2 linked regions of the Stegostoma tigrinum genome follow. The protein of the gene in region 2 binds, or shares a complex with, the protein of the main gene of each other region. Links are inferred from orthologs where the notes say so. Each region holds a gene or a part of one and is shown on either strand. Other genes may lie near its edges.

Region 1 (7,742 bases), on a different chromosome or scaffold from region 2:
TCATGGCATCTATTCTAAAATAAGTCCTCATTCTAATGAAAACAGTCATTGTATGCTCAACTATCATGTACAGATATTCATCAATACAGTCATTCCAGACCATTTTTACAGAATTTATTTTTTCAGTGAGGTGTAATCCTTGCCTAGCATTATACAATAGCATTATACTTTGTTGAATTATAACTAACAATATAGTGGAGACAATATTAACAAATTAACTCATAAGTGGTTGTTCTGTAATTAATCAAATGTTCTGAAGATTATTGGTTTGGGATAGGCTGAGGAATGATGTACATTTTCTATGCCTGTTTTTAAAAATATACCAACCTGCACTAAAAAAAACTCATTCTTGACTCTGCCTTCCTTGTTTCTCACAGATTGTAAAGTTTGTTTTGTACTGGCAACTTATAGCTTTAAATTGAGGGGTGAAAGATATAGGACAGATGTCAGAGGTAGTTTCTTTACTCAGAGAGTAGTAAGGGAAAGGAACGCTTTGCCTGCAACGGTAGTAGATTCGCCAACTTTAAGTCATCGTTGGATAAGCGTATGGACGTACATGGAATAGTGTAGGTTAGATGGCCTTCAGATTGGTATGACAGGTCGGCACAACATCGAGGGCCGAAGGGCCTGTACTGTGCTGTAATGTTCTATGTTCTATGTAACTTAGTTTGAGCTAAGATAGTATGCTTGACAAGCTATAAAAAAATCTGGTTTTCTGCAATTTACAACGATGTAGAATGCACTTCCTGAAACAGATGTGAATTCAATTGATATGTCCTTGAAAAGGAAAAGATTGACAAGGTTACACAACTAGTCAGCTCTTTCCAAGAACTGGCACAGGCATGATGGCCAAATGGCTCCCTCCGTGCTATGTGATTCTATGAAGCTATTCATCTGTTAGTCGTAAACTAACACACCCGGGCATGGGTCATAGCAGGAGGGGGGCCATGACTGATTAGCTCTAGCTAGGGCTGCTGTGACCAAGCACGGATCAAGAACTTTGACCGACAAAACAAAAGTAGTTTTACCTTTCTCTCTCATTTCTCTGTAAATCCAGTCCCTCTTTTCTGCATTTCTTTATCGAAAATTCCTGGTACACTACACTGATCACACTGTGTTGTGGAGATATCCCAGCATTTATAACCTTGAGGCATTTATATTGAATATTAATGATTCTCTTCAGTGTTTGCAGACACAAACATAGGTACACTGTAATTATTTTAATTTTAATTTACACCATATTCAAAAATTGTGTTCCCATCTATCAATTACCATTGAAACATTACATAATAAATACCATTCAAATAATAATGTTCAATGACAAAGGCTTGCACCTGACACTAAAATTTCACTCCCCAGCAGTTGTGCAAACATGCAAAAAAAATCTACTAATGCCTTACAAAGAATAATCGTCGCAGAAATAATTCCTAAGGCAGCTACACATTAGAAGGTGAAATAACCATTCAAGTTTTTATACAATTTGAAACCCGAATGTCTCGGAACATAATACGAATTGTGTCTATTTTTCAATTCAACACTGCCTTCATCCTTTCAAGATCAATTTACTGCATCTAATACTTAAAATGAAATCTCCTCCCATTCACAACAGTTCACCATTGGATATTATTATCTGCAGTTCTTAGCATTTCCAGAGGTCGTCAATTTTAAGAGTGTGGATGATCATGTACAGCTCCATCTCCAACACTTCATCCTCTCTCCTTCCACAGACCAAACTCCCTCCCGTCATATTCACTCTCAATGACAACATCCCAACACTAAACACCCCACTCACTCGCCGTTCCCATCACTCTGTATCTCCAATCAATCCATCCTTGCCTAACAGCTCTCAAGCCCTTTCCCATCATGTCACCTCCAATCACTTAATTCAACAACTGCTCCCCATCGCTCCCCATCTCTCTCCAATCCTTATCTTTCTTTCCAGTCCCCCCAAATCACCTTCTATCTCACTACTGATTTCTTCCCTCCCTCTCCAGTCTCCACCCTCAGCCTCTAAACTCCTCGATGACTCTCCCTCCCGTCCCCCTCCCTCACCCACACCTGCCAGTCCGTCCCCCACACCTGTCAGTCTGTCCCCCAGGCCATCCTGTCCATTACCCACATACTCACCCACACCCTCCAGTTCCCACTCCTGCAATCGCACCCTCCAGTCCGTCTCTCCCTCCCCCTCACCCTCCAGTCTGTCTCTCTCCCTCACCCTCCTCCCCTCAGAGCTGTCCATTGTGCCACTAACCCGCGCGGCTTTCTGACCGATCGTGCCGCAGCTCACCTCGTACTGGATGTACTGTTTGCGCCATTCCGGCGTGATGTGGGCTGAGAGATGTTCGGCGAATTTCATGATCGATGTTTGTCCTGAAGATGGTCCTGACTCCTTTCCGCCTTAATAAACGCAAGGACAGGTTAAGGATCCAGGCAGTCAGTTGGTGGGCATCCGCTGACTAACGACCATTCCTGGCCGAAACTGCACCGCTGTCTATCTCTCTCTGCCTTGTGGTGGTTCGCTTCCTTCTCTCAGACGGAACAAGAGATCATCACTCACTGCCGATCATCCGCCATCTTACTGACAAGACTCCACAACTAGAGCGCGCCTGCGCGTGAGCTGGCTGAGGCGCGCCACCGCGCACGCCTCCCGGCTTACCGCAGGGCGCGAGACCGCGCAATGACGACACGCCTCAAGGAAACGCCTACAGGCTTGGTCCCGCCCCCGTCCCAGCCTGACTTCTGCCGCCGGCACCTGCGCCCCGCCCCTTGGCGGCCAGTTCTCCACTCTCCCGTTGGAAAACCCTCCCATCTAACGACAGTGCATGCCGCGCACCAGCGCGCGACGCCCCGCCCATAACATGACCGCACCACGCCCCCACAAAGCGACGCCCCGCCCATACACGACAGCACCGCGGCCCCACAATATGACGCCCGGCCACTCAGGGACTTCACCGCGCCACCATAGCGTGACGCCCCGTACCGGGACTGCACCACGCCCCCGCGGCGCCCCGCCCAAACGTGAACTGAATCACGACCCCACCACGCGACGCCCCGTCCAACCAGGAGCCGAATCACGCCCCCTTCGGCTACTCCCCGCACAAGAAGGTACAGCACCGCGCCCCCACAGCCTGACGTCCCACCACACAATCTGACCCACCTCCCACGGCCCGCCCACACCGTGACCAGACCACGCCTCCACCGGACGACGCTCCGCCCAAAGAAAGCTGCGTCCGCGCACATTTGGAGCTGTGCTCCGCCCTTTATCCAAACCCCTCCCCCTACTCGCACGCTTCTCAGACACCTTTCCCTGCCACGCCCCTATTGTTAGCTCCGCCTCAGTAACGCCGCCCATTTCCACCCCCGCCCCTTTCCAGCCCCTCCTACGCATGCTTGACTCTACCTATGGGACGGCGAGCCGTTGACAGGTGCGCGCGCGCTCGCGGGAGCTGGGGCCCGCTTGGACGGGTGTCGAGTTAGCCTGTGTGTATTTATTAATATTAATATTAATTTTAATATTTATTTTAAAAATACTTTTGGGATTGAGTACTCTGCACTGACGATTTGCGAGCTCGATTTACAGTTTCATGCCATTCGTCAAAACAGTGCAGAAAATAGAACAAATTGTCGCGAACAGGGCTCCTTTTAATTTCCTTTTCCTTCACAATCGACTTTGGTAAACTCCGAGCTGGCAACTTTGAGAACGCGATATTCGAAATTTATTTTTCATTTGGCAATGTATTGAAGCTTCACCTGAAGGGACAAGGGCAGGAGATATATGGGAACACGACCACCTGCAAGTTCCCCTCCAAGCCACTCACTACCCTGACATGAAAATAGCGCTGTCTCTTCAGTGTCATCCGGCCAAAATCCTGGAGCTTCCGAACAAATGGATTGACTACAGTGGCTTAAACAGCAGCTCACCGCCAACTACTTCCTTAAGGGCAATTAGTGATGCATTATTAATACCAGCAATACTACTACAAATGCCACGAGAATCAAGTTTGTCAAAAAAGATCCCAGAAAAAAACATTTCTGGTCCTCAGGACCTATGAAAGGTCTTAGGTGCTGTGGGTTAAGGAATAAATATTGGCCCAAGGACATTGCTTTGCACCCCAAACACTCTCCCAAACTCCAGTTTAAAACAAGTAAGGAACACATTTCTGTATTTGTCATGAAACGTTTCTGCTGGTATCTCACTTTTACTACAATTGTCAAATCAGGGTCGTGATATTCACAAACTGAAGAAGGTTGGCATGTATATAACATCCTTTAGATCCCAAGAATAAGAGGTGTTGAATTATTTGATGTGCATTTATTGTAATAGATGGAATCACAACATTCACTCTGCACAGGAGGCATAGAAATTGAGAAAGGACAGGAACTTGGAGGCAACCTCTCAACATAGGGAGTGAATTATTCACAAGGTATGGAGTAGACTATTAGTTTGTTTGGTTGAATATAACTCAGTGTCTTCCAGAGACTTGTGTTATAATGATTGTTATTTCCTACAAATACCACCGATTTGGATGAAGAATATTGACTTATATATTCAGGTTTCCAGATGCTTAAATTAAAAGGCACTAACGATTGTAGATGAAAGGAGAAATACACAAAGGCCAAACATGGATTAGGTGAGTGGGCAAAACTAAAATCATCCACTTTGGACCTGAGAAAGATTGATTGGGGTACATTCTAAATGATGAGAAGCTGGGAACTGTGATTGAGTTGAGAGACTTGGGGTATAAATACTGAAAGCGGTAAAAACTAGTGAAACAAAAGTACCTGTGATAATGGGAACTGCAGATGCTGGAGAATCCAAGATAATGAAATGTGAGGCTGGATGAACACAGCAGGCCCAGCAGCACCTCAGGAGCACAAAAGAACGTCAGCTTTTGTGCTCCTGAGATGCTGCTGGGCCTGCTGTGTTCATCCAGCCTCACATTTTATTAAACAAAAGTACCTTATGTCTTCATATAAAAAATCAAAATTTTGAAGTTAACTTTTCAGGTAGAGAGTTAAGGAGTGATTTTTACATTGGTAATTTTTTGAGGGTCTTACTGTCAACCAAAACACAGCAATCCTGCAAATCTAACATGGTTCTTACAGAATCTTCTGACCTCGATCGAGACCTTGGTTGGGGGAGGGGGGAACAGGAGCAATTGGCAAAGCCTGATTCTCTCCTTCAATTATGGCTCTGAGACAGTCTTCACCTGAACCATAGGGGTACCGATATCCTGGGGGGGGAAATTTGCTAAGGCTGTTCGGGTGGGTTTAAACTAATTCAGCAGGGGGATGGGCACCAAAATTGTAGTTCGACTATAGAAAAGGTTGAGAGTACGGTGGTCCGAAATAAAGTTTCAGGGAAGCAAGATGGCACCGGCAAGCAAGAAGTTGGTTTGACGTGTGTCTACTTCAATGCCAGGAGCGTCCAGAATAAGGTGGGTGAACTTGCAGCATGGGTTGGTACCTGGGACTTCGATGTTGTGGCCATTTCGGAGACATGGATAGAGCAGGGACAGGAATGGTTGTTGCAGGTTCCGGGATTTAGATGTTTCAGTAAGAACAGAGAAGATGGTAAAAGGGGTGGAGGTGTGGCATTGTTGGCCAAGGACAGTATTACAGTTGCAGAAAGGATGTTTGGGGACTCGTCAACTGAGGTAGTATGGGCTGAGGTTAGAAACAGGAAAGGAGAGGTCACCCTGTTGGGAGTTTTCTATAGGCCTCCGAATAGTTCCAGAGATGTAGAAGAAAGGATAGCAAAGATGATTCTCGATAGGAGTGAGAGAGACAGGGTAGTTGTCATGGGGGACTTCAACTTTCCAGATATTGACTGGGAACACTATAGATGGGAGTACTATAGATGGGTCAGTTTTTGTCCAGAGTGTGCAGGAGGGCTTCCTGACACAGTATGTAGATAGGCCAACAAGGGGCGAAGCCACATTAGATTTGGTACTGGGTAATGAGCCCGGCCAGGTGTTAGATTTGGAAGTAGGTGAGCACTTTGTGGTGATAGCGATCACAATTCTGTTATGTTTACTTTAGTGATGGAAAGGGATAGGTGTATACCACTGGACAAGACTTATAGCTGGGGGAAAGGCAATTACGATGAGATTAGGCAAGATTTAGGGAGCACAGGATGGAGAAGGAAACAGCAGAGGATGGGCACATTAGAAATGTGGAGCTTATTCAAGGAAAAGCTCCTGTGTGTCCTAGATAGATAAGTACCTGTCAGACAAGGAGGAAGCTGTAGAGCGCGGGAGCCGTGGTTTACGAAGGAAGTGGAATCTCTGGTCAAGAGGAAGAAGAAGGCTTATATTAGGATGAGATGTGAAGGCTCAGTTAGGGCACTTGAGGGCTACGAGGTAGCCAGGAAAGACCTAAAAAGAGAGCTCAGAAGAGCCAGGAGGAGACATGAGAAGTTGTTGGCGGATAGGATCAGGCTAAACCCTAAAGCTTTCTATAGGTATTTAAGGAATAAAAGAATGACGAAAATAAGATTAGGCCCAATCAAGGATAGTAGTGGTAAGTTGTGTGTGGAGTTAGAGGAAATAGGGGAAGCGCTAAATGAATATTTTTCAACAGTATTCACTCTAGAAAACGACAATGTTGTCGAGGAGAATACTGAGATACAGGCTACTAGACTAGGTGGGTTTGAGGTTCACACGGCAGAGGTATTAGAAATCCTTTAGAAGGTGAAGATAGATAAGTCCCCTGGGCCGGATGGGATTTATCCTGGGATCCTCTGGGAAACCAGGGAGGAGATTGCCGAGTCTTTGGCATTGATCTTTAACTCGTCATTGTCTACAGGAATAGTGCCAGATGACTGGAGGATAGCAAATGTGGTTCCCCTGTTCAAGAAGGGGAGTAGAGACAACCCTGGTAATTATAGACCAGTGAGCCTTACCTCAGTTGTAGGTAAAGTGTTGGAAAAGGAGCTATAAGGGATAGGATTTATAATCATCTGGAAAAGAATAAATTGATTAGGGATAGTCAGCACGGTTTTGTGAAGGGAAGGTCGTGCCTCACAAACCTTATTGAGTTCTTTGAGAAGGTGACCCAACAGGTAGATGAAAGTAAACCGGTTGATGTGGTGTATATAGATTTCAGCAAGGCGTTTAATAAGGTTCCCCACAATAGGCTATTGTACAAAATGCGGAGGAATGGAATTGTGGGAGATATAGCAGTTTGGATCGGAAATTGGCTTGCTGAAATAAGACAGAGGGTGGTAGTTGATGGGAAATGTTCAACCTGGAGACCAGTTACTAGTGGTGTACCGCAAGGGTTGGTGTTGGGTCCACTGCTGTTTGTCATTTTTATAAATGACCTGGATGAGGGCGTAGAAGGATGGGTTAGTAAATTTGCAGACAACACTAAGGTTGGTGGAGTTGTGGATAGTGACGAAGGATGCTGTAGGTTGCAGAGAGACATAGATAAGCTGCAGAGCTGGGCTGAGAGGTGGCAAATGGAGTCTAATGCAGACAAGTGTGAGGTGATGCACTTTGGTAGGAGTAACCAGAAGGCAAAGTACTGGGCTAATGGTAAGATTCTTGGTAGTGTAGATGAGCAGAGAGATTTCGGTGTCCATGTGCACAAATCCTTGAAAGTTGCCACCCAGGTTGACAGGGCTGTTAGGAAGGCATACAGTGTTTTAGCTTTTATTAATAGAGGGATTGAGTTCCGCAACCAAGAGGTTATGCTGCAGCTGTACAAAACTCTGGTGCAGCCACACTTGGAGTATTGCG
Region 2 (7,362 bases):
CATAGGGTGCAAACTGGTACAGAGAACAGATTATAGTGTAAGACCACATATGTATTTGTAAATAATGACAAAAGAAATGGCATGTACTGACTGAGACTGTGCTAGAAAGGAAGTGAAAATAGAAAACACTGAAAACACTGCACTGATACAGTCACACCCAGTGAGTATTTCCAGCATTTTCTGTTTTTCTCGTAAATATCCACGTTCACTTTAAACATCATGTCACAATTTACAAAAACTTGTACTATACCGAAAGGGTTGGTATCCTTCCATGTATAAAGGATGTTAGACACGCTGCAAACAACTCATCTAGCTGGGTGTCTTCAATGGTGCACTTGTGCTGACGCCTGTGAAGGCCAATTGCTAATAGCAGATTCTGCCATGACAGAAACACATGAAGCCAACAAATTATGTTCTGGGTCTCTTTCAAAATTAGCATCGGTTGCCAAACTACAGAAGCCATTGATCATCAGGTTTGTGGACATCAACACCAAAAGGGTCGCCACCTCTTACTTTCACTCATTATTTAAGACACAACAGTCATTGTTTAGAGCTTTCATGTCATGATTCTGAGGTGTGAAACAGAGGTTGGGATGTTCAACTTCTGGCTCCAGCTATCTGATTGTACAGAAGACTGTCGGGTACGTGGCTATCTTCCAGCCTGTGGAGAAATTCAAAGTACTGATGTTGCATTGCTTGACTTGAGTCAACATACTTGAGAGGTCTGCCTTTGAGAGGTCTGACACATTCATGGTTTTGTTTTGCCATGCGTCTCAGAGAGGGAAGACAGAAGTTACTGAACTTTTTCACTTGGTCTGAGATAACAAGGTGTAGAGCTGGACGAACACAGCAGGCCAAGCAGCATCAAAGGAGCAGGAAAGCTGACATTTCGGGCCTAGACCCTCGAATTGTCAGCTTTCTTGCTTCTCTGGAGCTGCCTGGCCTGCCGTGTTCATTCAGCTCTACACCTTGTTATCTCAGATTCTCCAGCATCTGCAGATCCTACTATCTCTTCCTCACTTGGTCACTTGTTTCAAAGCCATCCAAAGTGCCGAGGTCATTGGCACTATAAATCAACAAATTTGTCTTGAAGGTTAGCTTTCCGTTACATTGTGCATATTTCACGACTTGGCCAAATGTGGTACCTGCTTTCCCTGTGTATTGATTAAAGCATTCCATTAAAGGGACAGATGCATCTACAGTAATGAGACAAAGTTCGCAGAATTTGCTAGGCACTTCCAGTCTGATACTATTTAGCATTAATCTTTCTCTTACTAGATTCCTTTCCTCTCTTTTCACTCACAAAACTGCAAGAATTGAACAATTCGATAACATTTAAGCATTTACGTTTTCTACAAACTAGGAATGAAGACATCACTTGTCCTAGCACAAATCACAAACACTAGATTGAAGATACAAGTAATTAGGAAGGCTAATAAGATGCACAGTTTACTGCAAGGAGAACTGAATATAAAAGTAGGAGAACATGCTTCAGTTAACCAGGGTATTGCTGAAACCACATGCAGAGTTGCGTATTGGTCTTTTATTTAACAATGGAGGTAAGTGTGTTAGAAGCAATTCAGAGCTTTACTGGACTAAAATGTGGAATAGCAAGTTGCTTTCAAAGGAAAACTGGAATAGCTAGGTTCGTACTCGCCACAGATTGAGCTAGAAAGAAATAGCTTCATTGAAACATGTCCACCCTGTCAAGACCTCTGTTATATGGAAATGATGTTTCCTACAGGGAGAATCCAGAAATAGAGGGTCTCTATTTAAAAACGAGGGGTGTCCACTTATGACAGAGAGGAGTGCTTTTTAAATATAGAGTCTGTGGATGGTTTCCCTCAAAAGGCTGTACATGCAGAGTCTTTGAGCACGCTTAAGGCAAGGATGGATAGATTATTCATAAGTAAAGGGGGGAAAGATTATTAGGGAAAGTAATCAGATGAACCACGACCTGACTGTATGGCAGAATAAAGGAACAAAGTGGCATATTCCTGCTACCATTTTGTATATTCATATATAAATTAATACTTCATTGCTCCTTGTACAAATGATTTGTATACATTAACAATCACATTTTATTATATAAAAATAATAGCACCAAGGAACAGAAAACACAACCAATGTCAACCTTCCAAAATAAAGGCCCTTAACAAATAACTTAATTGACTCTGCCCACAGGCTAAACATTTATTTGACATAGTACACTAGTTATCTCCCACTGAATTAGAATCGACAGCATTACCAGAGTTGCTGAATGACAACCGTTCGAATCGATTCAGTGCACCCTGATACAAAGGCAGATGAAATTAGATTTGCCTTTATTGGAGGGAGGAGGGTTTTTTTTGTTCTCAGGAAACAGGTTACACTAAAACGTATTTTGATGACACTCTTTAAAAAAGAAATCCGCTTCCCTATAATCATTTGTTCCAAAGAGGTAATTACAGCAATAAAAAGGAGTAAAGTAAATCATTTTCCAAATATGTAATAACTCGGCAGGTACATGATGAAGCGGTGGATGCACCTGCTGTCAGCTGATCAGATGGATGTATGGATGCCGAAGAAGCAGTGACCCCCGAGCCGATCCGGGTCATCCATTCCGGCCGCCTGCACGTCACAATGAGCCACTGTCGCGTTCCAGAACACACACAGTGAACGTTAGCCGCGCGAGCCGGCTGTTCGTTTCAAAAATCGCCGGGGGAAATAGGCAGAAGGGACTGGACCCACCGACCCAGGAACTCCACCCGCGGCCGGAGCTCGCTCACCGACTGCGCCCGCCCCGCAAACATAACAAAGACATCAGGCTCGTACCGTTTTCGAAAGGCTCCGGTTTACTCGCCCACTTTTCACCACTCCGCTTCACGGAAAACGTACACGACGACCAACTCCTTTCCGTACCCCTTCTCTGTGTCTCTCTTATTCCACTCGCGTCGCCACCTCCTGACGGGCCGCCATTTCCGCCGCCGCCGCCCGAACACAGGTCACGTGGACTCGACTGCGGCGACGTCACCACCCTCCCAGCAGCAGGAGGCGCCCAAACCCAGATCATCCGGGATCACTGCCCGGGGTTGGCTGGGACCGCTGCCGCAGTTCATTGTGATGTCTGCCCGACAAACCAATTGGGATCACTGCCCCAGGTCATACGGGATCACTCCCCGAGATCAATAGGGATGACGGCTGGAGATCACACAAGATCACTGCCCAGATCTGCGATTACAGCCCCACCCGCAGACCACAACCTGAATCCGGGATCGCTGCCCTTGTCCTGGGTCAGAACCAGAGGTTGTTATCACAGCCCGAGTCCCGGATTAAAGTCAGATTACAGGTTCACATCCCAGCTCCATGATCCCATCCCAATTCACAGATCACTACCCGAGTCTCAGATCGGGCCCTCGGCCCTGGATCACAGCCTGAATTCCGAAATACAACCCCAGTGCCAGATTACAACCGGATTCTGGGGTCATGGTTTTGGATAGGTAGCGAACCTGAAATCATCTTCTGTGATTGAGGAGTAGCTTTGGGATCCAGAACTCGACTGGTGATCTGAAGGCCTGGATTTGGGTAATGATTGCAGACGCAGTTCGTGATCTGGACTCCAGTTGTAATCTAGGACAAGGACTGGGTTCCTGGAATCACTTGGGGTTGTGATCCTGGTCTTTGACGGAGATCCCAAACTCGATCTAAGCTCTGGACTTGGTCTACGGTCCCCGACTTGGGCTTTGAGCTGGTACATGGACTGGGCACCCAGACTCTGCTTGTGATCTGATACTTGGGCTGGGATTTCAGACTTGGGCAAAGATCCCAGACAGATTGGGGATCTCTGATTATGATCCTAGATTAGGACTGAGATCCCAAACTCGAGCTGGTATCCTGGATTCTGACTGTGATCTCGGACTTGGGCAGGGATGCAGGAATCAGTTCTGATCTCAGCTTCAGCTGGTATCCTGAAATCCAGTTGCAGTGCCGGCACCTGGCTGCAATATTGGATTCGTGACGGGATCCAAGATATGGGCAGAGAACTATAAATCCAGTTGTGATCTAGGACTCAGGCTATGATCCCAGACAAGGATATGGTCCAGGTTCAGACTGAGATTCTGGAATCAAGCAGTGATCTGGGAATTGGTCAGCAAGCTGAGATGCAGGCTGGGACAGAAATATCCGAACAGGAGCTGGGCATTCAGCTGTTAAAGCCTGCTGCATCATTCAATAAAATTAGAGTCATACAGCACAGAAGCAAGCAGTCAACACAAATCATCCGTGCATTTATCTAAATTATACTCCATCTGCCATTCCTCGACCTGCTGGCCCCATTGACCAAAATCCTGTTGCCCTCTTAATAGCCTTTTTAACTATCTCCTATACCACTAATTTTGGTGTCACTGTCAAATTTATTAACCATGCCTCCTACATTCTCATCCAAATCATTCAAATAAATGATGAACAACAGTGGACCTAGTACCAATCCACTGGTCACAGGCCTCCAGTCTGAACAACAACCCACTACCAGTACACTCTGTCTCCTACCATCAATCCAATTTTGTATCCAATTGGTTACATCTCCCTGGATCCCATATAATCTAACTTTACTAACCTTGAACCATGCAGGACCTTGTCAAAGATCTTGCTAAAGTCCATGTAGACAAGGTGCACCATCCTGCCTTCATCTGTTTTCTTGGTCACCTCTTCAAAACTCTCAGTCAAATTTGAGAGCAACTTTTCCCACACACAAAGCTATCATGACTTTCCCTAATCAGTCTTTGCCTTTCCAGTTGCATGTAGACCCTATCTCTAAGAATCCCCTCCAACAATTTACCCACCACTGACATTAGGCTCACCAGTCTGTAGTTCCCTGGTTTTTCCTTGCAGCCTTTCTTAAATAATGGCACAACATTAGTCACTCTCTAGGTACGAACAAATTACTGCAAATGCTGGTATCTTACTGAAAACAACAAATCCTGGAGATCACAGCAGGTCAGACAGCATTCATGGAGAGAGAGCAAGCTAATGTTTTGAATCTAGATGATTTTTCATCAGAGCTGAAGTGACAATCTGATGAGATTAGTCACCCTCCCATCTTCCAGCACCTCATCTGTGACTGTAGATGATACAAATGTTTATGTTAGGAACCCTGCAATTTCTTTCCTAGCTTCCCGCAATGTCCTGGGATACAACTGATAGGGTTCCAGAGATTTATCTACATTTATGTGTTTTAAGACCACCAACACCTCAATGGTTGCTCATCCTATTCAGGACCACCTTCTTCCTATACCTTTTGATCCCTTTAGCCAGAAGACCTACATCTAACTCCTTGAAAACACTCACTGTTTTGGCCTCAACTGCTTTCTGTGACAGAGAATTCCACAAACTCACCTGGGTTAACAAATTTCTCCTCATCTCAGTCTTAAATGACTTACCCTGTATCCTTACACTGTGACCTCTGGGATCCTGTTCTGGGGATAGGATCTTGAACCTGGGCAATGATCTTGAATCACAACCAAAGTCCGGTATCCCAGCCCATGTCCAAGTTCACAGCAGAGTCTGGGAGCCTAGCCTGAGTCTGGAAACTTCAATGACTCTGGGATTCCAACCAAGTCTGGGGTGATGACCCAACTCCCAGATCATTGCCCAAGTCTGGGATCTCACAAGGATTCAGGATCCCAGCCTACCTCCGGAAGTTCAGCTCATCCAGAATCAAAACCAGAATCTGGCTCACAATCCAGTTGCAAACTCACGGTCCAAGACTGAAATCACAATCAGAGTCCTGGATCACAAGCTGACCCCCAGATCTCATTCTATGTCCTGGATCAGAACCTGCATCACCACACAGGTCCTGGAACACAACCCAAGTCCCAGTTCACAGCTTGAGTACCAGATCGCACCTAAGATCTCAAATCACACCAAAGTCTGGTATCACAGGCAGAGTCTGGGATCATAACCCAAGTCCCAGATCAAAAGCGGAGTCCAGGATCACAACCAGAGTCCATGATCAGAGATCACCAATACAGCCTTCTCCAGAAGTGCCAGCATCACAGATACCAATCTTCAGAAATTATGATTCACTCCAAATGATTTCAAAAAATGGTTAGAGGCACTGGATCCAACAAAGACTATGGCCTCTAACAACTTTCTGGGAATTATACTGCAGAGCTATGCTCCAGAACTCACTGCAAACATAACCAAGCTGTTCCAAGTACTCTGAAAATCACCCAGGTTGGCCCTGTACACAAAAAGCATGGCACATCCAAACCAGCCCACCAGTAATTGATCGGGACCAACCATCAGCTGCTTCACTAATGACCTTCCCTCCATAAGGTCGGAATTCAGGATGTTCGCTGATGATTGCACAATGCTGAGCACCATTTGCAACTTTTCAGATACTGAAATAGTCCATGTCCAATGAACTCTTGATCATTAGTAAATTATCAAATGTTATCAACAGAGCTACCAGATAATACCAGCTCACTGACACCCAGAGATAATGGGAACTGCAGATGCTGGACACTCCGAGATAACCAAGTGTGGAGGTGGATGAACACAGCAGGTCAAGCAGCATCTTAGGAGCACAAAAGTTGATGTTTCGGGCCTAGACAAGGGTCATTGCCACCTTTGACAACGTGCAGCATCGAGCAGTCCAAAAAAAAACTAGTCTCTGGTAATGAGGGAGCAAATTCTTTGCTGGTCGGAGTTATACCCGGCACAAAAGAAGATGGTTGTGACTTTTGGAGGTCAGTTATCTCAAGTCCAGGTCGTCACTGAGGGATTTTCTCTTGTTTGTGTCCTGGGACCAACCATCAGCTGCTTCGCCAATGACCTTCCCTCCATCATAAGGTCGGAATTCAGGATGCTCGTGATGATTGCACAATGCTGAGCACCATTTGCAACTTCTCAGATACTGAAACAGTCCATGTCGAAATGTAGCAAGAACTGGACAATATCCAGCTTCTGAATCCAGTACAGAACCAGAGTAAGGGATTAGGGATTGCTTTCTGAATCTGGGATCAGGGCCCAAATCCAGAATCTAAGATATTTTCTGTAATTTAGTGTAAATGTACCAGGTTTTTTTAGGCCACATGTTCTTAATTTGTAGCAAGATCTGCACAATTTCCAGTTTGAGCTGAAAAATGGCAGGCAGCATTTGTGTCACATAAAAGCCAGACAATGAACCTCTCTGACAAGGGAGAATGTACCCATCGCTCCTTAAAATTTAAAAGCATTACCATCATTGAATCCCCTACCATCAACAAACTGGGGTTATATTAACCAGAAATGGAACTGGACTAACCACATAAATGTGGTGACAAAAACAAAGGCTCAAAATTCTGCAACGAGTAACACACCTCTGACTCCCAAAGCCTGTCC

What was found. Proteins that work in one complex are often made in the same cells at the same time.
Region 1: the proteins of kidins220b (region 2) and xenotropic and polytropic retrovirus receptor 1 homolog are in contact, whole or in part, in a cryo-EM structure (PDB 9JXQ), measured with the Homo sapiens proteins. The link is inferred for Stegostoma tigrinum from reciprocal best matches to the Homo sapiens genes KIDINS220 and XPR1. Residues at the interface, in NP_065789.1 of Homo sapiens: Glu36, Cys37, Gln39, Asp70, Trp72, Met102, Trp105, Trp110, Tyr113, Lys114, Val138, Ile142, Trp143, Gly146, Arg147, Ser166, Asp167, Lys168, Tyr169, Gly170, Trp176, Arg179, Lys180, Gln198, Glu199, Gly200, Ala201, Ser203, Lys234, Arg267; in NP_004727.2 of Homo sapiens: Leu95, Lys189, Lys190, Gln193, Glu197, Ala200, Asn204, Glu205, Ala636, Asp637, Asp638, Leu641, Leu642, Gln644, Met645, Met646, Asp647, Gln648, Asp649, Asp650, Val652, Arg653, Asn654, Arg655.

What each region holds. Positions count from the first base shown.
Region 1 is NC_081361.1:8,624,545-8,632,286, forward strand, and holds the start of xenotropic and polytropic retrovirus receptor 1 homolog, read right to left. Parts: upstream 3,001-7,742; 5' UTR 2,981-3,000; intron 2,398-2,980; 5' UTR 2,357-2,397; coding exon 2,288-2,356; intron 1-2,287. UniProt on the Homo sapiens protein: Inorganic ion transporter that mediates phosphate ion export across plasma membrane.
Region 2 is NC_081357.1:113,752,900-113,760,261, reverse strand, and holds the start of kidins220b (kinase D-interacting substrate of 220 kDa B), read right to left. Parts: upstream 3,003-7,362; 5' UTR 2,815-3,002; intron 1-2,814. UniProt on the Homo sapiens protein: Promotes a prolonged MAP-kinase signaling by neurotrophins through activation of a Rap1-dependent mechanism. Provides a docking site for the CRKL-C3G complex, resulting in Rap1-dependent sustained ERK activation.